Saccharomyces cerevisiae S288C: one gene and its partners. The gene in region 3 interacts genetically with the main gene of each other region. Each region holds a gene or a part of one and is shown on either strand. Other genes may lie near its edges. The genes, in order: OAR1, VPS8, VPS64 and ATG23.

The links.
Region 1: mutations in VPS64 (region 3) and OAR1 together harm fitness more than expected from each alone (negative genetic interaction), as found in Saccharomyces cerevisiae (2 studies listed by BioGRID).
Region 2: mutations in VPS64 (region 3) and VPS8 together harm fitness more than expected from each alone (negative genetic interaction), as found in Saccharomyces cerevisiae (4 studies listed by BioGRID).
Region 4: mutations in VPS64 (region 3) and ATG23 together harm fitness more than expected from each alone (negative genetic interaction), as found in Saccharomyces cerevisiae (2 studies listed by BioGRID).

The regions. Positions count from the first base shown.
Region 1 is NC_001143.9:333,397-338,781, forward strand, and holds OAR1 (3-oxoacyl-[acyl-carrier-protein] reductase (NADPH)), read right to left. Parts: upstream 2,762-5,385; coding exon 1,925-2,761; downstream 1-1,924. Other genes in the region: NUP120 (Nup120p), read right to left, coding at 1-573; TMA19 (Tma19p), read right to left, coding at 1,016-1,519; DNA damage-responsive RNA polymerase-degradation factor DEF1, read right to left, coding at 3,141-5,357. UniProt on the Saccharomyces cerevisiae protein: Involved in biosynthesis of fatty acids in mitochondria.
Region 2 is NC_001133.9:141,534-148,031, reverse strand, and holds VPS8 (CORVET complex membrane-binding subunit VPS8), read right to left. Parts: upstream 4,326-6,498; coding exon 501-4,325; downstream 1-500. Other genes in the region: transcription factor TFIIIC subunit TFC3, read left to right, coding at 1-438; EFB1 (translation elongation factor 1 subunit beta), read right to left, coding at 4,872-5,412, 5,779-5,858. UniProt on the Saccharomyces cerevisiae protein: Required for localization and recycling of the CPY sorting receptor (VPS10) to the late-Golgi compartment. Involved in the retention of proteins to the late-Golgi. Plays an integral role in the complex vacuolar protein sorting process.
Region 3 is NC_001136.10:851,596-857,750, forward strand, and holds VPS64 (Vps64p), read right to left. Parts: upstream 4,499-6,155; coding exon 2,684-4,498; downstream 1-2,683. Other genes in the region: CBS2 (Cbs2p), read left to right, coding at 1-802; RKM2 (protein-lysine N-methyltransferase), read right to left, coding at 938-2,377; SPC19 (Spc19p), read left to right, coding at 4,722-5,219; RAV2 (Rav2p), read right to left, coding at 5,303-6,155. UniProt on the Saccharomyces cerevisiae protein: Participates in the control of the reentry into the cell cycle following pheromone treatment. Involved in vacuolar protein sorting.
Region 4 is NC_001144.5:997,519-1,003,606, forward strand, and holds ATG23 (Atg23p), read right to left. Parts: upstream 4,186-6,088; coding exon 2,824-4,185; downstream 1-2,823. Other genes in the region: DNA/RNA helicase SEN1, read left to right, coding at 1-2,611; IMP dehydrogenase IMD3, read left to right, coding at 5,039-6,088. UniProt on the Saccharomyces cerevisiae protein: Required for cytoplasm to vacuole transport (Cvt) vesicle formation and efficient autophagy. Plays a role in ATG protein retrieval from the pre-autophagosomal structure (PAS) and is especially required for autophagy-dependent cycling of ATG9.

The DNA of each region.
Region 1 (5,385 bases), on a different chromosome or scaffold from region 3:
GCCGTCAACTTTTTTTAAACCCAACAAACCGCCATCTTCCAAAAAAACAACTGAGAACTGGGGTGATACATAGAAAAGGAAATGAGGAACTCTAACTGTAAAGTCGTAGGGATTTTGGAGATGAAACCACTCTCCATTGAGAGTGTTGGCCGATGAAAATAGGAAACTTAGGGGTAGTTGTAACGTTAAAAACGAACCATCTTTTAAGATAACATTAACCAGTAATTGCTGTTCCACTTCTTGTATCGTTAAAGTGTATCTCTGATTCATAGAAGCATTTGGTAAGTGTATATTAATTGTCTTCCCATGGTATGCGTCACTCAAAGGATAAAATGTCAACAATGTTGATCTTGAGGAAAAATGGTAACAGATATACTCAGAGTTACTCAATAACAAACAATTGGAATATTCACTTCCGTAAGGCTGAGGAACTGGTGTAGAGATGGACTTATCTCCTTCTTTCAGCCCGTTATTATTACTGTTATTACTGACGTATAAATCAACCGTATTATTGGGTTCAGGTTTTTCATAATATTGGAGCAAATTTGCATCAATTCTTGAGAGGCATGCCATAATAGGTCAGTTGTGTACGAGTGAAATTGCGACCTCTTGAAAAATGCTTATGAACGTTGGATTTCGTCAATTTCTACTTGTTTCTCAGCTTCTCATGCTATTTCAATTCAATTTTTTTTTCACGTAATTGGAGAAAAAGACAGGAAAACAAAAAACATGAAAGTTCTGTAGGGTAATGGAAAAGAAAATATTGATGAACTATACATATCTACGGCAATTGATAAACGTGTCTTAATAAAATCATAGAATAATTAAAAACGTCCTAATGCGTGTTAAGAAGTAATTAGGAAGTTTAGATACCTATAGAATCAAAGAATAGAAGCTAAAAAGTTGATGCAGAGAAAAAAGAGAGAGAGGTTACATATACATTAAAAATGAGAAAGGGGAGTCCTACTCTCAAATTCAAATACAAAATACGAAAATTTTTCTAATTTCGCTAGACTTAGATCTTTTCTTCCACAATACCGTGCTTCCAGATGGCAACAAATGGAGTGGTACCATCTTCACGGTAGTTCAACATGACAACCATGGCATCTGGGTCCATGGATTCACCAGTGAAGAACTCCCAGTCCTTGAAAGAACCAATAACCTTCTTGACGTAAGTTTGAGCACCCTTTTCGAATTTAGGAACTTCTTCTGGGTTAGTTTCTTGCAACTTAGCTTTAACAGCCTTCATGTAACCCTTAATGTAGGTCAAGAAGGACTTCTTGTCAAAAGCGGTTTGTTGTAGACGGAAAGAGTGGACAACGTTGTTGACCATTTCAGCACCTTCTTCAACATCATCGTCACCACCTTCAGCAGATGGGTTAGCACCGATATCGATGTTGTCACCTCCGACATTGACCATAGCACAGTCGGCTTCGTAGATAACGTCATCAACTAACTTAGCGTCGTAAGCATCAGACAACAATTCGTCGTTAGAGAAGATATCCTTGTAAATAATCATATTTGTCTATAGTATGTTCTGTGTTAATCTGCTAACCGCAACTGAGACCCCAGAAAGAAAATTGTTAAAAAGCTAAAATGAAAGTAGTAAACCATTGAATGAAAACATTAACCAAAATAAAATTTTTTTTTAAGTCCCAATTGAAATACTTCTCCTTATAAATATCATGAAAGGAAGAAAAAAAAGTGAAAAAAAAAAAAAAAACCAATAAAAAAATAAAAAAATATCAATTCTACGAGAAATGCGTGCGAAATCGATGAGTTTTGTTTTGCCTCTGAAAAATTCTGGAAAATTTTTCTTAGCGGAAAAAAGAAAAAAAAGAAACGTGATGTGAAAATGTGTTCACTGAGCTCATCGATATACACATTGAACAGACACAAATCTATTATTTGTTTCGATTTTCTTTTACGTCTCCAAAGCAGTTCTACTGTATAGAGACCAGACTTCTTCCGCTATTTCAGCGGGTGCGCTTGTACCGCTTGCCCCAATGGTTCTCTCCAGCATTTCTTTAGCCTCCACTGGCAAATTTTGGATCATATCGGTCCCTTTGACTAAACCTGGAGATATCGTAAAACACCTAATGTTTCTTGGTTCCATTTCTGCAGCTAAAACTTCTGTAAATCTGGACAGTGCGGCTTTAGAGGCGGAGTAAACAGATGTACCTGGAACCTTCATTTTTCCGGAGTGTAGAATGGAGGAAATATTTACGATGGTGGGTCGAGCAGATTGACCACTGAGTTCCGGCCATCTCCTTTGCGACTTCATCATATACTTAATACAGATGTTTGTCATCGTCACAGGGCTCATAAAGTTAACATTCATTATGTCCTGAATTTGAGATGCAGTGGTTCTTACACTTAATGATTCTTGAGTCAAGCCTGCGCAGTTAATCAATAAGTTTACGTAGTAGCGGCGTTCATTATTTGACCATTTGTTACATGGGTCGAACAATGTGGAATATTTCTGTTTCAAGGGCGGTCTATCTTTGAAATATTCGATACCGTCATATGACTCATAGTCAAGCCAGTGAGGCCATTTCTTAAAATCAATTGCTATAGCACATTGCCGCTGATATGATAATCCCGATTGTAATTGGCCTCTATCTATCGCGGTGCGCTCTATACTTTCTTTAGTAGACCCAAGTATAATGCAACTTAAACCCTTTTGAAATAACTTTTGACATATTGCCTTGCCTATACCCCTAGTGGCACCTGTTACTATCGCAACAGGCAAATAATGCATTTCCAGACTTTTCTTCTCCCACGTCTATACCAATGTACTCATGTGTATTCCATAGTTCTCATCAGTTGCAAACAGTAACGGCGGAAATTTTGACGCTGTGATATATAAAACAGAAAAAGTGGCATTTCCAAAACCCCGCAAAATAAAGACACAGCTAGCTAGATAGATAACACAACATATATATACCTTTTATTATTTACGTACGTATATATATATATGCAAAATTTAAATGATATATGACATCATCAAAAGGATATGGAATCCTTGCCCAAACATTGAAGAAAGTAAAACATAATAGTGGTAATAAAATGTGTATTTAAATTCATTGTATTTTATTCCCCATTTCGTTTTTTATGTGGGAGGTTCTACTTCTCCCTTATTAGTAGAAACCTCTTGAATTTTTAGAATTGTAATCATAACCGTTGTAGCCATATGGTACACCTTGTTGGGCAGCAGCAGCGGCAGCGGCAGCAGCTTGTTGCTGTTGTTGTTGGAATTGATAGTATTGTTGGAACTGCATTTGTTGTTGTGGGTTAACAGGTTGGCCATTTTGCATTTGAACTTCAGGTTGGGGTTGACCTTGAGGTTGCTGTTGCTGTTGCTGTTGTGATTGCTTCTGTTGAGAGTCTTCAGAATGCTGGGCAACACCTTGATTTGGACTTTGCTGTTCCTGACCGTTTTGAGTTTGGTAATAGTTGTAATTGTTCTTTGGTAACTGGTATGGATATTGACCAGCTACACCGTATTGAGGTTGACCATATGGGAATGACTGTTGGTAAAAGTGGGCGTAGTATGGCATGAATGAGCCACCGTATGGCTGTTGTTGTTGAGGTTGGGCGTGAGCTGTAGCTGGAGAAGCGGCAGCAGCAGCGGCAGCACTAGTCAAATTAGCAGCAGCAGTGTTCGCGCCTGCTTGACCATAACCTTGTTGGAAATTATATTGGTTAGCATTACCACTAGTTTGAGCGTTGTTTTGAGCAAGTTGCTGATATTGTTGACCGTAAGCGTATCCTTGTGAATCAAACATACCTGGATAAGAATATCCAGGAAATTGGTTTTGATACATGTAGTACTGTTGGGCAGCCACGTTGTTCCCTTGTTTTTGACTTTGTGGACTTTGCTGTGATTGAGGTTGTTGTGATTGAGGTTGTGGATGCTGTTGCTGTTGCTGAGCATATTGTTGTTGTTGGGACAAATACTGTTGCTGTAACTGATGCTGTTGTTGAGCGTATTGTTGCTGCTGTTGTTGAGTATAGTAGTTTTGAGATAATTGTTCTTCTTGGGCTTGAGCTTGAGCTTGTACTGGTTGTTGTTGCTGTTGCTGTTGCTGTTGTAGTTGTTGTTGTGGTTGTTGTGGTTGCTGTGGTTGTTGTTGTTGCTGTGGTTGCTGTGGTTGCTGTGGTTGCTGTGGTTGCTGTGGTTGCTGTGGTTGTTGGGATTGTTGTTGTGGTTGAGGTACAGTATTAGCTTGATCTTCTGGAGGCTCTGAAATAACAGCACTAATTTCAACCTTTTCTTCAACAACTGTAACTTCTTCTTCTGGAGCAGCAACATTATCTTGTTCTTGTTCCAGCTCTTCCGCTGTCTGTTCCTCTTCTTTTACTTGTTCCTTTTTTTCAGCTTCTTCTTGGACTTCTTCTCCGTCCACTTCAGGGACTCTGTCTTCATTTTCTTCAGAAGGTTCAGCAGTCTCCTCCTCTTGTTCTTGTGCAGATGTTTCTTGTTCATTAACTTTTTCTTCACTAGCTTCAGACTTTTGGTCATCCTTCTTAATATCGCTTATTTCTTTCTTCAATTCAGCAACGTTTTCAAGAGGAGACTCGGTCTTTTTAACAGCCTTTGGCTTTGGTGTAGCAATTGCAGCCCACGACATTTTCTTTGGTTGTGAAGCAGATGTCCTAGAAGTTGTTTTCTTTGAAGATAAAGAAGGTTGCTCTATTTGTTTGTGTTCTTCTTTGTTATTATGCCCTTCCTGCTGTTGTTGCTCTTCTTGCTCTTTTTCTTGATTTTTCTCCTGCGCTTGTTGCCCTTGTGCTTCTAATTCTTCATTATTGTTATCATTTGAATCTTGAGGAACGTCATGTTTAGTATCTACAGAAACAGCTGCTGCCCACGATGTAGTGTTTGAAACAGGCTTGGATGGTACGTGCTTCCCCTTGTCGAGATTAACATGTTTCCCGGTTGTATGAGCTCGTGGTGTTTGTACCTTCTTCTTATTTCTGGCTTGAGTATAATTGTTACTACTGTTATGCTTTGTAGAAGTAAAAGAATTGCTATTATTAGAACTCTTATATGTAATATCATCTTCTGGATTTGGCAAATGTTGTTGAGGGACATATGAGTGTTGTTGCTCCTTTTTTTCATATTTTTCCTTCTTAGCAGGTTTCTTTACTTCATCCCATCTTGTCACTGCGCCGGAAGTAATTTTATCAATTATAGTTTCCAAATCATCATATTCTTGAACTATATCAATTAAATCATCACTCGTCCAGTCAGGGAACAATTCTGTAAGCGTATCTATTTTGGACTTTAGCGCAGGATTTAGTTTTTTACTACTATGACTATTATGATTAGACTTCCTAAATTGTGTAGACATTATATATATATGATGATGTAGATTATAT
Region 2 (6,498 bases), on a different chromosome or scaffold from region 3:
GGAGAGCTATTGAATATGGATGTAATTCCAATGGTGAGAAATGTTCGACCTTTAACGTATACTTCAAGGAGATTTGAAATACGAACATTAACTCCCCCTCTGATTATATATGCCAATTCTCAGACAAAATTGAATACAGCAAGGAAGTCTGCTGTCAAAGTTCCACTGGGCAAACCATTTTCTCGTTTATGGGTGAATGGATCTGGTTCCATTAGGCCAAACATATGGAAGCAGGTAGTTACTATGGTCGTTAACGAAATAATATTTCATCCAGGGATAACATTGAGTAGATTGCAATCTAGGTGTCGTGAAGTACTTTCGCTTCATGAAATATCAGAAATATGCAAATGGCTCCTAGAAAGACAAGTATTAATAACTACTGATTTTGATGGCTATTGGGTCAATCATAATTGGTATTCTATATATGAATCTACATAATGAAATGAGGTGTATAAATTTTACTTTTATGTAACCAAAGTTGTATTAAATATTTAGAAATGTTATACTATTTTTGGGTTAGATTCCGTCTGGCAAATTAAACAAGAATATTCATCGGGTTTCTGGGCCAAGTTTTCGAGGCAAGTCTGGTGAAAGCCATGGTGACATTTGAATATGACAAGGGGAGTTTTGAGATCTACACTAATCATATCTTGGTGGCGCTGTACATTTTCCCAAGCTAGAAAAAGTAATGGGTCCAGACCAGCTCCCCATATTTTTTTCCCGCAGATTTCGCAGTCGTCGGTGTGTATAGACCACCCTTCACTCAGAAATTTTCTATACTGTTGAACAAGATCTTGCGAAGAATCCTCTATAATCTTTTGAATCAACTCAGAAAGAGATCTTTCCAATTTATAAGTATTAAAAACATTCAGTAGCAGTTGCTTTAAATCCTGAACTTTCATTAAAATAACGTCTTGGTGCTCAAGAACAGAAGACATTATTTCCCAGAATTCCCCACCTGAATCCTTCTGAGAGGAACTCTTGGACCTAACCAATCCCAAAAATGCTTCTTGAAGTAGTTTATTACATAAATCTTTCCTTTCATCGTGTGAAGGATATTTCCCATATAGAGTGATCAGGAATGTAATCAATAATATCCAACACGATTTTTTCTCGGTACCAGCAGAATTACAATCATCAAAGGCCCTCCTCAAAGATTCCAATAAAGTAGATATATTTGTTTTCCCTTCATTTAGACATTGTTCAATAAAACTTAATAAATCCCTGACTGCTAGGTTAAAACTTTCCAAGCGTTCGTGAATTATAGCTGCAGCTTCAAAATTAGAGTCTTGATTCAATAAGTCCAGAATTTGTAAGCTCTCAGCGTTGCTGAGAACTGTACCATTAAGCCAAAGAATCATTTCCCTTTTGCTCTTGTATTTACAGTTCAATTCGATGTGTAAATTTCTTAAACGCTTATCGACCTTATTGTTGATATTTGGCGTAGAAAAAAGCTTATCCAAATACTTTTGCTGAGTCTCCTCATTCTTTACTTCCAGGATTTCTTGATGAAGATTATAGTCAAAGTCAGAAAAAATTGTGACGCATTTTTCGATACCGATCCTTGAGAGAAGAAGATCAAAGTTCGTCTCGATAACTTCAGTAACTTTGCCACATTCTAAACTTCCAGGTGGGCATTTTTTGAGTATGTAGTCGGTTATGGATACAATGTCCGTGTTATATTCTTTTTCGATGTCCTTAGTTTCTAAAATAAGTGAAAGCGCACTGGCGTACTTATTTTCACTTTTATAGATATGGAAAAGAACTTTATTGAAATTTTTTTCTTTTAGTTCCAGTATAAAATTTTCTGTTGTTCTTGAATGATAATAGGGTAAAAGCGACTCCAGAGCTATTTGAGAAATTTCATATATACCTTGAACCCTAGAGGAGCATATGGTATTAACAACGCAGTCGAGGGCTTGGTTAGACACTTTAATAAATTGAGGATATTTTGATATACTAGTTGCAATGAAAATTGCAACAAGTACCCTGATGTTGTCTGAATTTCCCGTATCTTTCATAGCATCCAATAGTAGATCAATAACATATTGCCTACTTACCAATTCTGCTTCTCCAACTGATGCAACCATGTCATTGTCATCGTTAAACAAGGACGCTTCAAACACTTCATTGAGCATTGCTAAGAACCTACTCGGATTCGATTTCAATAAAAGGTGAAAGTAAGGAAATGCTGGCTCTTCTTCTGGATTTTCGCATATGTAAAGTTTATGATTGCTGTTCGACGGCCATTTTATGGAGAAGCCACTAAAAATAAATGCTGAAAGTTCCCTTTGTATTTTGGAGCATTTATCACTTGGTGATATAGACAAGTTTTGTGGATATTGCCTGCCAGTAAGGATATACGTTACGTAATCAAATATAGTCGTTTCAGGAGGTACTTGAGGACCATTGAAGATCACACATTTTTCACTTTGGTTAGAAATCCTGTATATCAAGTCCACCACTGGGGTTTGATAATCATCAAAGATCTTGTTCCAAATATATATTAATAAATCGAACAAATTATACTTTTGGCATAGTTTGACGGCAAGATCAACATCAAGCGTAGTAGGATTTAACATGATGATTAAGTCTTCAATTACTTTTAAATTCTCCTCCTTAGCATAGTAATCAATTATGGACCTGAAAAGAACTGGGGAAATTGACGTAACTGATCCTTGGGCAACAATATTTGCTACAACTTCAAAATATACCGCGTTGTCCTTCAATTCAAAGAACTCCAGACCCTGTTCCAAAAAGACGTCTAGAGAAGGAATTGAGTCTAGTTTTTTGGAAGATTGCTGCAAAACACGAACAACTACCATTAATAATTGGTAAACCCTATTGTAGTCGGCATTATCTTTTTTTATAAGAAACCTTAGGGCAGCCAAGGACAGATTGTAAAATGGTTCCATAAGTTGCTTAGTCCTCTCTTCCGTATTATTATCTAGCTTCAACAAGTTTGCCAGTGGACAGTAAGGTTGCAAAAGTGATTCTATGAACTCCAATGCACCCAAGTAGTCGCCTTTCAAAATATGTCTTAAAGTAATATCTGACCAAGACACAAATTTGCCAATTTTAAATGAGTAGTTTGTTAACAGGTAGAAACTTCTTCTACTTATTACAAAATATTTATTAGGTGGGATCATCAAATCGTGAATCAGAAAATCCAATCTTAACAGGATCTTGAAGTCATGTTGGGGGTGCAATACCAAAAATTGGTGCGATATGGTTAAAACACCAAGTAGGAGCTGGTCAATCCATTGAATGGATAATATAGATTCTGCAAATTCAGGAGAATGGCTAGCGGACTGAACATTGAAGTCTGATGAAGATATGGAAATAACAGAAATTTTATTATTTACGGAATAAGCAACCCTGGAACAGTTTTGAGTCCATGAAATAGAGCTATTCACGACTAGAGAATTTTGTACTGAGGGTTCAACAGTTTCTTGAAACATCAAAGAAACGTGTGGCGATAATAAAATAAGGGCAAAATGTGTAGTTGTGAGTACACTCAACAAATTAGTGGAAATTTTCTCCCGTGATATTAGTGGAGACAACTTTGACCTTATTAATTTCTCCTTGGAAGAGTTCACATCTAAAATTTTTTTTGAATTATACACCAACTGCCAAAAGCCTCTTCTGTAACCGTTATAGAGTGATACTTTACCTGTCCTATCACTAACAATCAGGGCTGTATGCCGAGCACCAAAAAAGTCTAACCCTGTGATTTCCTTGTTCACATGGTCATCGATGTGTAAGACTGCCGGTAAGGCAGGCGTTGGGGTCATACCATTTGTTGGTTCAGAAGTGGGTTTCACTCTATACCCTACGTTCAAGTTCCAAATGCATATATTTCCGGTCTCGTATGAGGCAGCTACATGAGTACCATCGGAACATATGACAATTGATTTCACTGGACTTCTTATTGAGTGAATAGAAGGGTCCTCAGATAAGGTCGGCACTAGGATTGTCTGCAAATGTTCATTATAATTAAAAATGAGTACGCATCCTTTAGAAGTGCCCATCAAAAAATACGTGGCTGTCGGATACAAGCACGTGGGCCCTCCATAAGCACCCAGGATGGAATATACGTGTGTTAAAGTTGTCCATGAGACTACGGATTCGGAGCCTTGTGACACTGCAGAAGCTACCCCTTTAGGACCATCTTCGTTCAGGGGAGGTGCCGTATATGAAGAACTAGATGCCAGTTTTTCACTTAATTGGGTATACGATCTAAATTCTAGGAAAGTCTTTTGAGTGTCATTAATAGTCGTATCGATGCTAGATCTGCTGTCGTGGTCAAGGCCATTTTGCTCCATTCTAGGTGTAATGAGTAATGGTCTCGGCAGATATATATTTTACACTTATTAAGCCTTTGTATGTATTGGTAATAACTGTCCTTTTTCACGCAGGTATATCATCGTAACCAGAGGTTCCCTTTTTTTTTTTTCCACAGGAAACTCACGTTTTGATTATATGTCTTTCTCGTTTTTGCCATGTTAAGCTACGAATAATGAAATTTTCCTTTTCTTCTAATCGTGAAAAAGTTATCCACCATAACTCCCTACACCGCGTATTTTCGACAAGATATTATGAGTATGTGTATTTAAGAATATGAAAAGAGATATACATAACTTGAATATTCCCGGAATAAATTCAATTAATAAACACGATTCCTTATATAGTGGTTACACAAATTAGTAATAATGTTTCGTGTGCAGTCGAAAAGTTTATCGTTCAAAATTCCTTCTGTTTTTTTTAGCCTAAAACCTAAGTTATTTCGTTGTTTTTTTCATTTATTTGTTAATCTTTACAATGTTGTTTTTGCTTTAATGTTAATTATAAAAAGTTTATAAAAAAGCCTTTTATAATTTTTGCATAGCAGCAATATCGGTAGATTGGACGTGGTCTTCGTCTTCTTCAATGCTTTGTTGCAAGTCATCCAAGGAAACCTTGTCATCTTCGACAACACAGTTAATTTGCAACTTCTTGATACCGAAACCAATTGGGATAAATTGGTGAGCACCCCAGGTCAAACCTTCCATTTCGATGGCCTTGACGTTAGCAACCATTTCTTCCAAATTGGTTTCATCATCCCATGGCTTGACATCTAGAGTGACAATGGACTTAGCAGCTGGCTTAGCTGGCTTAGCAGCCTTCTTAGCGTTGTATGCGGCAATTCTTTCAGCCTTCAACTTTTCAGCTTCAGCGTCAGCTTCTTCATCGTCGGAACCGAATAAATCGACATCGTCATCTTCTTCTTCTTCGGCAGCGGCAGCAGAGGCAGCTGGGAAAGAGTCGAATTCATCGGCCTTGGAAGCGATGTGGTTGAACCATCTGGAGAATTCTGGGTAAGCAGATTGGAAAGCCTTGAAGACAGTGACGTCAGCTTGAGAAACAGCAGTACTATTTTAAAAGGAGAAACAAAACATTTTGCTTGTTAGTAATGAGAACTTTTTTCTTGTAATGCAATCTTTAGACTCTGTCTTTCTTTTTTTGAACAAAAAAGGAAAAAAAAATAACAGATAACTAATAATGATACTCTGCTCTGTGCTATCGTCAGATACTGTGATAGTCAACCACATCTCTTTTGTCACTCATATCGGGGGTCTTACTTCCCATCATAAACACGGACCAAAGAATTAAATTCATCATTCACATAAGCGAAAAAAAGTAATCATTATTAGTTAACTTCCCTTTACATGTAACCATAGGAAAAAAAAAAAAGAAAGAAAAACAACGATCTATAAAGTAAACTAAATCGGAACATACCCTTCAATGTATGACTTGTCAGCCAAAGAAGCGTTTAATTGTTTCAAAGTTTCAATCTTGGAGAAATCGGTGGATGCCATTATGTGTGTATATATTCGGTTGGACTCTTCAGTGCTGAAAGGTAGAAAGCATGAGGTAAAAAGATAAAGAGTAGAAGGAAAAAAAAAAGAACCAACTAAATATAGTGGGTAGATAACCTTAAACTATTTATTTAGAGGCGACAATGTGAAAAATTTTTTCTTCAAAGGCTCGGTTGTCGACAAATTGTTACGTTGTGCTTTGATTTCTAAAGCGCTTCTTCACCTGCAGGTTCTGAGCCCTAAGAAAAAAAATTTCCTTGGTTGAAAATGGCGGAAAAAAAAAATTCAGAAAAAGAAATAAAGCACGTGTGCGCGGTGTGTGGATGATGGTTTCATCATTGTCAACGGCATTTTCGTTCTTGTGGATTGTTGTAAACTTTCCAGAACATTCTAGAAAGAAAGCACACGGAACGTTTAGAAGCTGTCATTTGCGTTTTTTCTCCAGATTTTAGTTGAGAAAGTAATTAAATTATTCTTCTTTTTCCAGAACGTTCCATCGGCGGCAAAAGGGAGAGAAAGAACCCAAAAAGAAGGGGGGCCATTTAGATTAGCTGATCGTTTCGAGGACTTCAAGGTTATATAAGGGGTGGATTGATGTATCTTCGAGAAGGGATTGAGTTGTAGTTTCGTTTCCCAATTC
Region 3 (6,155 bases):
TCCAAGCTTAAATCTATTGGAACATTTGCATAGATATCGATGGCGCTTTGATGAGGCAAGACCAAACTTGTTCATGGGCTTTACAACACCAGTTGACGTTGGGACCATACATCAAGAATTTCAACTGTCTCTCAAAGTGAAAGGAAGGATACAATTTCATATTGCAAAGATTGATGGTTTTCCTCGAATGAGTAGTACTGGTAAAAGTGCGAGTCTTTCTCTAAGAGGTGACAGGCAGAAAAATGAAAAAGAAAATAATGCGTTTTATAAGTTGTTTAGAGAAATTTCCAGGCTACGATCTGGAATAGGTTCCGATCTAGTTAGTTTTGATCTGCATGTTCATGGTTTCCAGGATTTGTTCTTCACTGAACTGGAGAAATTGATATTGGAGAGTTGTACCGAGCCATTATTGGCAGTATATGATTGCGTATATAAAAAGGAACTTTTGAAAATCCCCGGAGCACAAGATATAATAAAAAAGTTGATTAGTGAGCAGCTGTCAATTATCGATCGATCCTACCCGTCACTAAACACCAACCCAAACTATTCTGTAATCTTTGACAAGGAGAGAATATTTAGCTTGGTGATGAGAGATCTAGAAGTTAATGGGCACAAGCGCGCTAAGTTGGCCCAATCTTTAAATCAATTGAATCAAACGAACATTAATGAACTTAACGGATTTTTTGTTTCTCTTGGTAAGTACAAAAAATGTAACTGCAAGTGGAATGATATACTTCTGACTTTAATAAAAGGGAAACAGTTTATTACTAAGCAAAAAGCACTAGATTATCATTACCTGTGAAGAAATTTCATGTATATACAATAGATATTCCTAAATTTTCATATATGAATGGCTGCTGCGCACATGTACTTGCGAAGAGAAGCATGGGCACTGGCACTTCCGAATTTAAAGTTATTTCTTGGACTTTACAAATACCTATGATTGCAGGTCTTGTAAGTGTTGTGTAAGTATTTTTATATACCCTTTGTATATGGTAATTAAGTTTTGTAAGCAGAGGTTATTCTCAAGATTAGATACTTTTTCTGTCAACTCGCTAAGCGTCTTTGTATATTTTGCAGTTAAGGAGACCAATAATTCTTTTAAAACTGAAGAGATTTTTGGCTTGAAGTAATCTTCTGATATGTAACCTTCAATGAATTTTCGAACCCTCCTTTCATCCCTCGTCACATAATAGTTCAATGCTACGAATATCCTATAACTGATATCAGTCTCATTGATAGTGTAATCTCCCCAATAATCATGTTCCAATAGAAACGTTTTTACCTCCTTTTTGTCGTCGTCTATTAGTTCAATAATTTCGTCAGATATGTCTAAGTAGTTCCATTTGTTTCCGTCTACCACAAATCCATACTCGTTCAGTAAAAAATCATTTGAGTGTGCACCATAATTCAAAAAGAGCTCCTCGTTAATGTTGTCATAGAGGTGATCGCCGCATCTAATGGTAAATTGTCCAATTCCAATGATGTTTTCTCCTTCTGACCTCAACTGAGGACTTAACTGAGGATAGCAGTGCAAATCCGACTCACAAATGTGGTTCATGAAATCGACATACGGCACTAAAGTGAAATTGCTTGGGGAGTCCTCTATTTTCAACGGAATCTTCGCATAAAGACATCTTGAGTTTATAATAAAATAAACATGTACAAAAAGGGAGAATAACTCATCACTAGTAAATTTATCAGAATTTTTCGTACAGCTTAAGGAGCCGTAAATTTCATTCCATTTCAAAACCACCTCTGAAATGGTTTCCCAATCTTCTCTGACAAGGCCACTAATTCTTGCCATATGCTTTCGTGAGGCAGCAGGGAGATATTCAATCAGTGAATGGTAACGTGAATTGGGATCACAGTTCCAAATGGCTGGGATTGATCGCAGCTCCTCCATTGAGGGCCATACATCAAAGAATGGTTTCCAATCTGAGTAGATTTCATTGTGAGTCCATTTTGGCAATAGAAAATTTTCAACCAATATATAAAATGATACCAATTGAAATGATGATAAACTTAACAAAAACTCTTTCGATAATTCGGAATATAATCCATATCTAGGATCGGCCCAGGCTTTATTTTCCGCTTCAATAATATTGTCCTCATAATTGATTGGCTTTCTATCGATTGTGATACCAGGAATATTCAGCTCTTTATTAAACTTTGAAATATGATAGAGGATAGTGTGAAAATTTAGTTGCTTCGAGCTCGGTACTGATACAATGATATCGTTTTTTCTTATCGAACCGTGACTGAGGACGATCCCTCTGCCAGTTTCTGGCGATTCACAGATGCTGATGTTTGGTGCTATATAAAACTTATCTGATTTTTTCAGCCATGTTAGCAAGACATCAACCTTTCCTTCCATTCGCAATTTACTATGTAACTTTTTTGTAGATATTTATTCAAAATCTGTATCTTCGACAATCTTGAGACTATAGGTGATGAGTAGACGCATCCAGTTTTAGCTTGAGTTCCCGAATTTTTTTTTAATTTTACTTAATCAAGAAATCTTGAAAAAATGAAAAAAAAGAGTGTGGATCAGAATTGCAAAACAATATTCAAAGTATATGGAATATGTGCTTATTTATAATATATGGTTTTTCTCATTTCTACAGGACAAGCCCTGTTTTTGCTTTGTAGATTATGCTTGTAGTATTTTTCTTCTTTCGAGTTATTGTGGCAATTGCTTAACGGCCGTCGCAACTAAACCGAATGAAATGGCAACTACTCCAAAGAGCATTCCCTTACTAACTCTTGTTCTCTTGCCTTCGACGACTCCTAGTTCTTCAGTGCTTATTAATGTATCTTCGGTATCCTTTTTTTCTTCTCTTGAATCATTTTGTTTTACTTTAGCGTTATTGTCATTGTTAATACCACCATTAAAATTGCTTTGTGTTAAAACTAAATTTTTTCCCCTCTCTTCTTCTATTTGAAGGTTCAGCTCTCTTAATTCACTTTCGAGCTCCTGTAGCTTTTCATGGTTTTGTTTTTCCTTCAAGCTACATGCAGATTTTACTTTATTATTTTGTTGTTTGATTTCTTTTAATTGATCTTCCGATTCTTTGAGTAGCGCATCATTATTTTCTGATAGAGTTTTTTGTAAAGCCGTGCTCAGTTTCAGTAAATGCTTTTCATTCATATCAATCATGTGCTTATTGATGAAATCAAGGTTTATCGTATAGTTTTGCATAAAGTTTTGCATGGAATGTAATTTTTCCAGCTCTTGTTTTTCTAAGGACAGCTCAGTAGTCAAAGTTTTTATCATATTTATCAAATTTATGCTTGTACCTGCTGAATTGTTGATAAAAATTCCACTGAGAACCTCAGTTTCTGGACCTAAAATATCATCATCTAATTCTGAGTTATTAATATCTCCAAACATAGCTGCCTCAAAGGCTGCCCTTTGAGCCGTTGTTGCAGATGTTACACCAGCTTCGGTATAATTTTCCTTTAAATGAGATCGTATTGGAATGTGTTGATTATGATGACCTCTGTCTATCTTTATTCCGTTTATATTAGTGGAGTTCCCATTATTCTTATTAGTATGATCTTGTTTTTTCATCACCAAATTTGTGGGATCAGATACAGTGTTCATTAAGGGAATTACTGAAATCTCTTCCACATACGCACTGATTTTTCTATGTTCAAACTTTGAGTCAATATCAGTTCCCAAATCCACAGTATCACCAACTTTTAATTCTACATCATTTTGGCGTATTTTAACCCCATTAACAAATGTCCCATTGCTGGACTTTAGATCGCGAATATATATCTTTCCTGATGTAGGATCACAACTGAGACAAGCGTGATTTCTGGAAAGAACTCTTGAGTCAAAATTTCCGTTATCTGGTCTAACTTGTTGCGAAAATAAATCTCTTTTCGATCCTGAATTATTCTTGTTTACGCTATTGGTAACTGGTCGACCTAATTTAAGTCCGTCAGGTTTAAATGGTACAACAAGAAACTTGGTCTCAAAAGTTGCATTTAAGGATTTGAGTATAATAATATGTGTATGCTTCTTACGGGGTGATCCAGTTCTAAATAATGTCTCAGTTGAACCATTTTGGAATTTCGATAATTCGTCCAGTGCCGGTGGAGATACGGCTTCTACAGGAATTGTTACTTGTCCAGCCGGTGTTGGGTCTATTGAATTGTCATTTTGATCCTGACTTTGATTTTCAAATGGAGAACGGATTTTGTTGGCTAATATTGGGGATAATTGTTGCTGTTGTGAAACTTGATGGACGGAAGGTGGAGATGAAGCGGTAGGCAACAAATCTAAGCCTGGTGGTATGGTATACTGATCTATATCGACATTTGAACGGGATCCACTGCTTCTCGAGTTTGATCTAGCTCTTCCCATGGGCCTCTTAGGCGGTGACGTTTCTGGCGTCTTTGTCATTCCCTGCGAATTCGATTGATCCCTAACATAGGGAGAATGTTGCAGTTGCGGAGGGGGCCGTCTTCTTTTTTCCAGTTCTACCATGCCAAGAATTTACAGTTGTCTTCCTTCCTTCTAATTTCCAGTTGGTGAGACTGGTGACTATCCGTGGGGTCCGGATTGCGATTTACTTTCATTATGTATTTATTATTGGCGATTATAAAGTTTGTTTTCACAGGGCGTAGTAGTTAGCAACAATGAAAATGAATAATAAACAGATCACAGACGCATATATCTGTGTACGAATTGAAGGATAGGCAAAATAACCATGACAGATGCTTTGGAACAGAGCGTCCTTGCGTTGGAGGGAACAGTTTCAGTATTGAAGGATTCTGTGGAGTCTTTAAAATGTGCAAATGAGCCAAGCACGAACCTTGCATCGACAATGTTGCAAACCAAAAGGGTTTTCCGTTTAGTTCCCGAATATGATGTTGAAAGATCAAAATTAGATTTGATTGAAGAGGTAGAACCGCTGGTTAGGACTCTGGGCGATAAGTTACGTAAATCTATGGGTAGAATGCAAAGGGAACTCGATACTTTGCAGCAAACTTATGAATTAAACGATTTAAGGCTAAAGAAGAACATTAGTATGGATGACGATGATGCTCTGAATAGTCCAGACATGGGTCAAGAATACGAAGGCAGAGACGCGGACGACGTGGTTATGATGGCATCTTCTACTAATGAGGAATTGGAAGAATTGAAGAAACTAAAGGAAAAGAAGAAGCAACTGGAGAATAAGTTGGAAATACTCAAACAGAAATAGTTAGAAGTTTATTTTTTAAAGCATCCATTTATCTCTTTATCCAGTTTGTATTATAAATTATTGTTAATGTTATCGCTAGTAGATTACTTATATGTACTTAACTGTTTGCTAGCTACCAAATTTGCTTGATGGTTCGCCATCGAAGCTTTGAGACTGTTCAATTTGGCGCTTATACTGATCAAAGTTGGATCACTTGTAGATACTATTAACTTTTCACATTCCATGACTACCCTATTATCGAAAGTAACGCCCCTTCTTAATAATTCCTGAGCTTCTGGAAGTGTTATAGCTTCACTTTGAAAAGAAGAAATTATGTGGTTAAGTAATGTGGAATCCTGGACTTGTACACCGTTTTCTGAGAGGATCTTAGATAAAGTTTTGTTTCTTTCATTTGTCACTTGATTTCTTATTTGGTCGCAAAATGACCTGCCAGTTTTACTATCAATCTCGCACCAAGGTTTTTTAGTCACCTTAATTAGATTTCGTAGTTCTATGCAAAGCTCATTCCTACAAAGCGTAAGTTCCAGTCCTAGGATGTGAGCTGTGGATTCGCAGACTGAGTAACAATCCTGGAACATTTCCTTCATAGCAAAGTTGTTATCTTCTGGGAATACCAGGTCTCTAGGAGGATTTTGTAAAAGTATTAGAGAATGGTTCAAAAGTTCCATGGCCACGCCAAATTTGGATACGAATTCGCTGACATCTGTAGCTACTTGAAGTTGATTCAGTATTTCCAAAATATTTTTCAAGTGCGTCATTATCTTACTGAATTGAATAAGTAAGAAATTCAGTCCCGTATTCATTCGGAACATAACTTGTTTACCCCTTTGAAATTGTGGGAATCTGACAACAATGTGAAAGTCAACAATGTATTGGCCTTGTCTTGTGATAACACCCTTTACCGTCGGAGAGTCGTTTTGTTTGTTACTTTCGTTG
Region 4 (6,088 bases), on a different chromosome or scaffold from region 3:
TAAAACAAAGACTATACTGGGTATTATTGGTTACTTTTTGTCTACAAAGAATGCCTCATCTTCAAATGTCATCAAAGTGCCACTAGAAAAGAACTCATCGAATACTGAACAACTGTTAAAAAAGCAAAAAATTCTAATCTGTGCCCCCAGTAATGCCGCTGTGGACGAAATCTGCCTCAGACTGAAGAGTGGAGTGTATGACAAGCAGGGGCATCAATTTAAACCTCAATTGGTCCGTGTAGGTAGGTCAGACGTTGTAAACGTTGCAATTAAGGACCTTACTTTAGAAGAACTTGTGGATAAAAGGATAGGTGAAAGGAATTACGAAATCAGAACAGATCCGGAACTAGAACGTAAATTTAATAATGCTGTGACTAAAAGAAGAGAATTGAGAGGAAAATTAGACTCTGAGAGTGGTAATCCAGAAAGTCCAATGTCAACCGAAGATATCAGTAAATTACAACTTAAGATTAGGGAGCTAAGTAAAATAATCAATGAACTTGGCCGTGATAGGGACGAAATGCGTGAGAAGAATTCCGTAAATTATAGGAATAGGGATTTGGATAGAAGGAATGCACAGGCCCATATCTTGGCGGTTAGTGACATCATATGTTCGACTTTATCTGGTTCAGCCCATGATGTACTCGCAACAATGGGTATTAAATTTGATACGGTCATTATAGATGAAGCATGTCAATGTACCGAACTTTCTTCAATTATTCCTCTCAGGTATGGAGGGAAGCGTTGTATTATGGTTGGTGATCCTAACCAACTACCACCAACTGTTCTTTCAGGTGCAGCAAGCAATTTTAAATACAATCAGTCACTGTTCGTTAGAATGGAGAAAAATAGCTCCCCATACTTGCTGGATGTTCAATACCGTATGCATCCTTCCATCAGTAAATTCCCCTCTTCTGAATTTTATCAGGGACGACTAAAAGACGGCCCTGGTATGGATATCTTGAACAAAAGACCCTGGCACCAGCTTGAGCCATTAGCTCCCTACAAATTTTTTGACATCATTAGTGGTAGGCAAGAACAAAATGCGAAGACTATGTCTTATACAAATATGGAGGAAATACGTGTTGCCATTGAGTTAGTTGACTACCTTTTCAGAAAATTCGATAATAAAATTGATTTCACGGGAAAAATCGGTATAATTTCACCTTATAGAGAGCAAATGCAAAAAATGCGTAAAGAGTTTGCCCGCTATTTTGGAGGCATGATCAACAAATCAATCGATTTCAATACAATCGACGGTTTCCAAGGTCAAGAAAAAGAAATCATCTTGATATCGTGTGTCCGTGCCGATGATACGAAATCTAGTGTCGGTTTTTTAAAGGACTTTCGTCGTATGAATGTGGCTCTGACTAGAGCCAAGACAAGTATTTGGGTTTTGGGACATCAAAGGTCTCTGGCTAAAAGCAAGTTATGGAGAGATTTGATTGAAGATGCAAAAGATAGAAGTTGTCTTGCATATGCTTGCTCGGGTTTCCTGGATCCCAGAAATAATAGAGCTCAAAGTATTTTAAGAAAGTTCAATGTACCCGTACCATCAGAGCAAGAAGATGATTATAAGCTACCCATGGAATATATTACGCAAGGCCCCGATGAGGTAAAATCCAATAAGGACACAAAGAAGAGAAGAGTTGTCGATGAAGGTGAAGAGGCAGATAAAGCTGTAAAGAAAAAGAAGAAAGAGAAGAAGAAGGAAAAGAAAAAGTCCAAGGCAGATGATAAGAAAAAGAATAACAAGAAGGCAGAATCGCCCAGCACCTCATCTGGTACAAAGAAAAAGTCATCCATTTTTGGTGGAATGAGTGTACCGAGTGCCGTAGTTCCTAAAACTTTTCCTGATGTGGACAGCAACAAAAAGGCAGCAGCAGTTGTTGGTAAAAAGAAAAATAACAAACACGTTTGTTTTTCGGATGATGTTAGTTTCATACCAAGAAATGACGAACCTGAAATTAAAGTGACCAGAAGTTTATCCTCTGTATTGAAGGAAAAGCAGTTAGGTTTGAAGGAGACGAGAACAATTTCTCCGCCTGAAATCAGTAATAATGAGGATGATGATGACGAAGATGATTATACGCCGTCAATCTCCGATTCTTCATTAATGAAAAGTGAAGCAAATGGTCGTAACAACAGGGTGGCTTCTCATAACCAAAATTTCAGCGCTAGTATATACGACGATCCACAAGTTTCGCAAGCAAAGCAGACGCAGGTACCTGCTGCTATTACAAAACACAGAAGTTCAAATAGTGTTTTATCCGGTGGTTCTTCGAGGATCCTGACTGCTTCCGATTACGGTGAACCCAATCAAAATGGACAGAATGGAGCAAATAGGACCCTCTCTCAACATGTGGGTAATGCGAATCAATACTCAACGGCTCCTGTGGGTACAGGCGAACTGCATGAAACTCTGCCCGCCCATCCGCAAGACAGCTATCCTGCTGAGGCAGAAGATCCATATGATTTAAACCCCCATCCGCAACCACAATCTTCAGCATTCAAAGGACCTGGTAGTGGGCCCACAGGCACACGCAACAGTTCGAGACGGAATGCTTCATCTAGCCCATTTATCCCAAAAAAAAGAAAGCCTAGATCATGATCTTGAAGTAAAAGTGTTAGGAATTATACCTGCATATATATTGGTGTATACATTTATATTGAATTTAATAGCAACATTATTTTTCATTATTTTTCATTATTTCAGCAAAAAGAACATTTTTTTTCAATTTGACGTGAAAGAGTTTGACTATTACGTGGGCATACAATGTTTAAATTTACATTATCCTCATGGCTACTCTAGCTATTTGCATTTCATTCAACTTTTTTTGATATGGCATCATTTTTATTAGCGTTTACTACACTTTCAGAAATGCCAATCTTTGGTGGCGATTTGCTAGCAACCAAGAATGAGGGAGTCGAGGGCTGTTTTAAATTTGAACTCGCGTTCGACCCTTTATGGCTTTTGTGTATATCAATTGGTTTAGAAGGTAGTGCGCTTGACCCATCTTGTGCAGTGGTACTTTCGCTATGGAGTTCTTCACAAGCTTTCGAAAGTACGTCCCTTTCGTTTGATATTAAAGTTGTCGTGAGCTTTTCATCAGAAGAGTCAAGAAGGTTATTTAGGTACTGTATTGTAGAATTGATCATTTCTGACATTTCATTTGGAGGTATTTTGGAGTTGCTGCTGCTCCGAAGTTTGGTTATTAATTTGCTTTCCAAATCTCCTACTTTTTTTTGACAATCTAGCCATAATTCACGTTGCGTTAGTACTGTAGAAGACTCATTTTTATTTCTCATTAGTTGCTCTTGTAGATCTTCAATTTTCAGTTCTATGAGATCCTTCATATGAACAAAATTTTTCATGTTGATAGTTTGTCTCTCATTGTAATCTTCATCCGCGCTGGACAGCCTTAAATTGAATATCTTTTCTGATAGTGATTTTTCCTGTGTCAGGGGCGACTCGAATCCTATTCTTTTCATTAATTGATGCTTAGATTCCTCTATCTTGGACAAATGAAAATCAATATTACCCATTTCGGAACGTATCCGTCCAGATTGCCTTTTTAACTCCTCTTCAATGAATTTATTGTCCTTTTTGAAGTCTCTTAATAAAGTTTCCAGCCTTATTATTTCTGATTTAGCTTGCTTATGAGATAATTGTAACAGTTTGTAATTACGTATCATTTGATCCGCAGAAGATTCAGCGTTCTGTACTTCCTCGATCATTGCATCCGAATCATCCGTATTGGATAGTATTGTATTTTCTGCCCCCACTGACTCGATATATTTGTTTAGTGATGTCCGGTGGTGCGATGAAATGGTAATTATGGCGTCCTTATCGATAACATAGTCCGCCGGCGCAGCATCGGTTTCTTGCTTAATATGCCACGACTTCCGCTCTTTCCAAAGAAGCTGCTCTCTTTCGTTCAGTTCTAGTAGCTCTTGTTTGTCTCGAAGTAAGGACCCAATTTCTCTTTTCAATAGACCATCATGGGATACTAAGAGATCATTAATTCTGCATAGATCGTTTAAGCAAATAGTGATATCCTTCCGGATGCTTGTCACCTGGGAAGCCGAATTTACATCAGACAACGCTTTTTCGTGAAGCCCGACCAGAGTGCCTAAGTATTGCAGAATCTGCTCCTTTTTTTCTAAAACCTGATTCAGTTCCATATTTACTTCTTCACTTTATTTTGTTACCTTATAGAACAACGAGGTTAAAATGTGGAACAAGAAAACGAAAATAATCACTTGAACTAAAACGTACTCTATCCTTCACTTTTCCATTCCTTAGCCGGTTCTCCAATAGATATATACAGACGTTCTCTGTGTTCTATTATTTGTATATGATTTACACTATAAAAAGACTATCTATACCTTTTGTTAATTGCGCACCTAAACGCCAGAGCTTACGCCCTTAAATTTTTTGAACATATGCGCTGATACCCTACAAGTTGTCCTAGGGCTAGGATATCGGGAAAAAAGAGACAAGGGAACTTGAAAAACCATAATTCCCAATACATAAACCTGTTACTTGATGGCTAACAAGATGTACTTTTTTCCAGTGACCCAGTGGCTTCTTTAACCACTATTGTGTTCATTTCTAACTCTGGTTAATTACATAAATATTAGCCTTCAAAGCCGCACACGTTTCTTTTTCCGAAAAATGAAAAATTTTTCACTGAAAAAAAAAAAAAAAAAAAGAAGAAATAGAAAGGTATAAATAGTTGAATAATTTGCCCTTCCGAGATCCAACAAGATTTTTGAGTGTTGGGACCCTTGGAGGTTTACTCCAGTTTCGTGGGCTTGTGCATTTTCACCTAGTGTACTGGGAACTTTCTCTTTTTTACTCTATTTCTTTTCTTTCTTGCTTCTATATAACTTAACTTAGAAAGACTTTCTAAACTCGCAGAAAAGCACGTCATCTCATCTGTCTCACTTTTATTCTAAGGAAAAGAAGTCATCGACAGGTTAACAGCAGTAAATATTATCAGTGCAATTAATAACTCCGAAAGTAGTAAAAGCAATGGCCGCCGTTAGAGACTACAAGACTGCCTTGGAATTCGCCAAGAGCTTACCAAGACTAGATGGTTTGTCTGTCCAGGAGTTGATGGACTCCAAGACCAGAGGTGGGTTGACTTATAACGACTTTTTGGTTTTGCCAGGTCTGGTTGATTTCCCATCTTCTGAAGTTAGCCTACAAACTAAGTTGACAAGGAATATCACTTTGAACACCCCATTCGTTTCCTCTCCAATGGACACCGTGACAGAATCAGAAATGGCCATCTTCATGGCTTTGTTGGGTGGTATCGGTTTTATTCACCACAACTGTACCCCAGAGGACCAAGCTGACATGGTCAGAAGAGTCAAGAACTATGAAAATGGGTTTATTAACAACCCTATAGTGATTTCCCCAACTACTACTGTGGGTGAAGCTAAGAGTATGAAGGAAAGATTTGGATTTTCCGGTTTCCCCGTTACAGAAGATGGTAAAAGAAACGGAAAATTGATGGGTATCGTCACTTCTCGTGATATTCAGTTCGTTGAAGACAACTCTTTGCTTGTTCAAGATGTTATGACCAAAAACCCTGTCACCGGTGCACAAGGTATTACATTGTCTGAAGGTAATGAAATTTTAAAGAAGATTAAAAAGGGTAAGCTATTGATTGTTGACGACAATGGTAACTTAGTTTCTATGCTTTCCAGAACTGATTTAATGAAAAATCAGAACTATCCATTGGCTTCTAAATCTGCCACCACCAAGCAACTGTTATGTGGTGCTGCTATCGGTACTATCGATGCTGATAAGGAAAGGTTAAGACTATTAGTCGAAGCAGGTTTGGATGTTGTTATCTTAGATTCCTCTCAAGGTAACTCTATTTTCCAATTGAACATGATCAAATGGATTAAAGAAACTTTCCCAGATTTGGAAATCATTGCTGGTAACGTTGCCACCAGAGAACAAGCTGCTAACTTGATTGCTGCCGGTGCCGATGGTTTAAGAATTGGTATGGGTTCAGGCTCTATTTGTATCACTCAAGAAGTTATGGCCTGTGGTAGACCACAAGGTACAGCC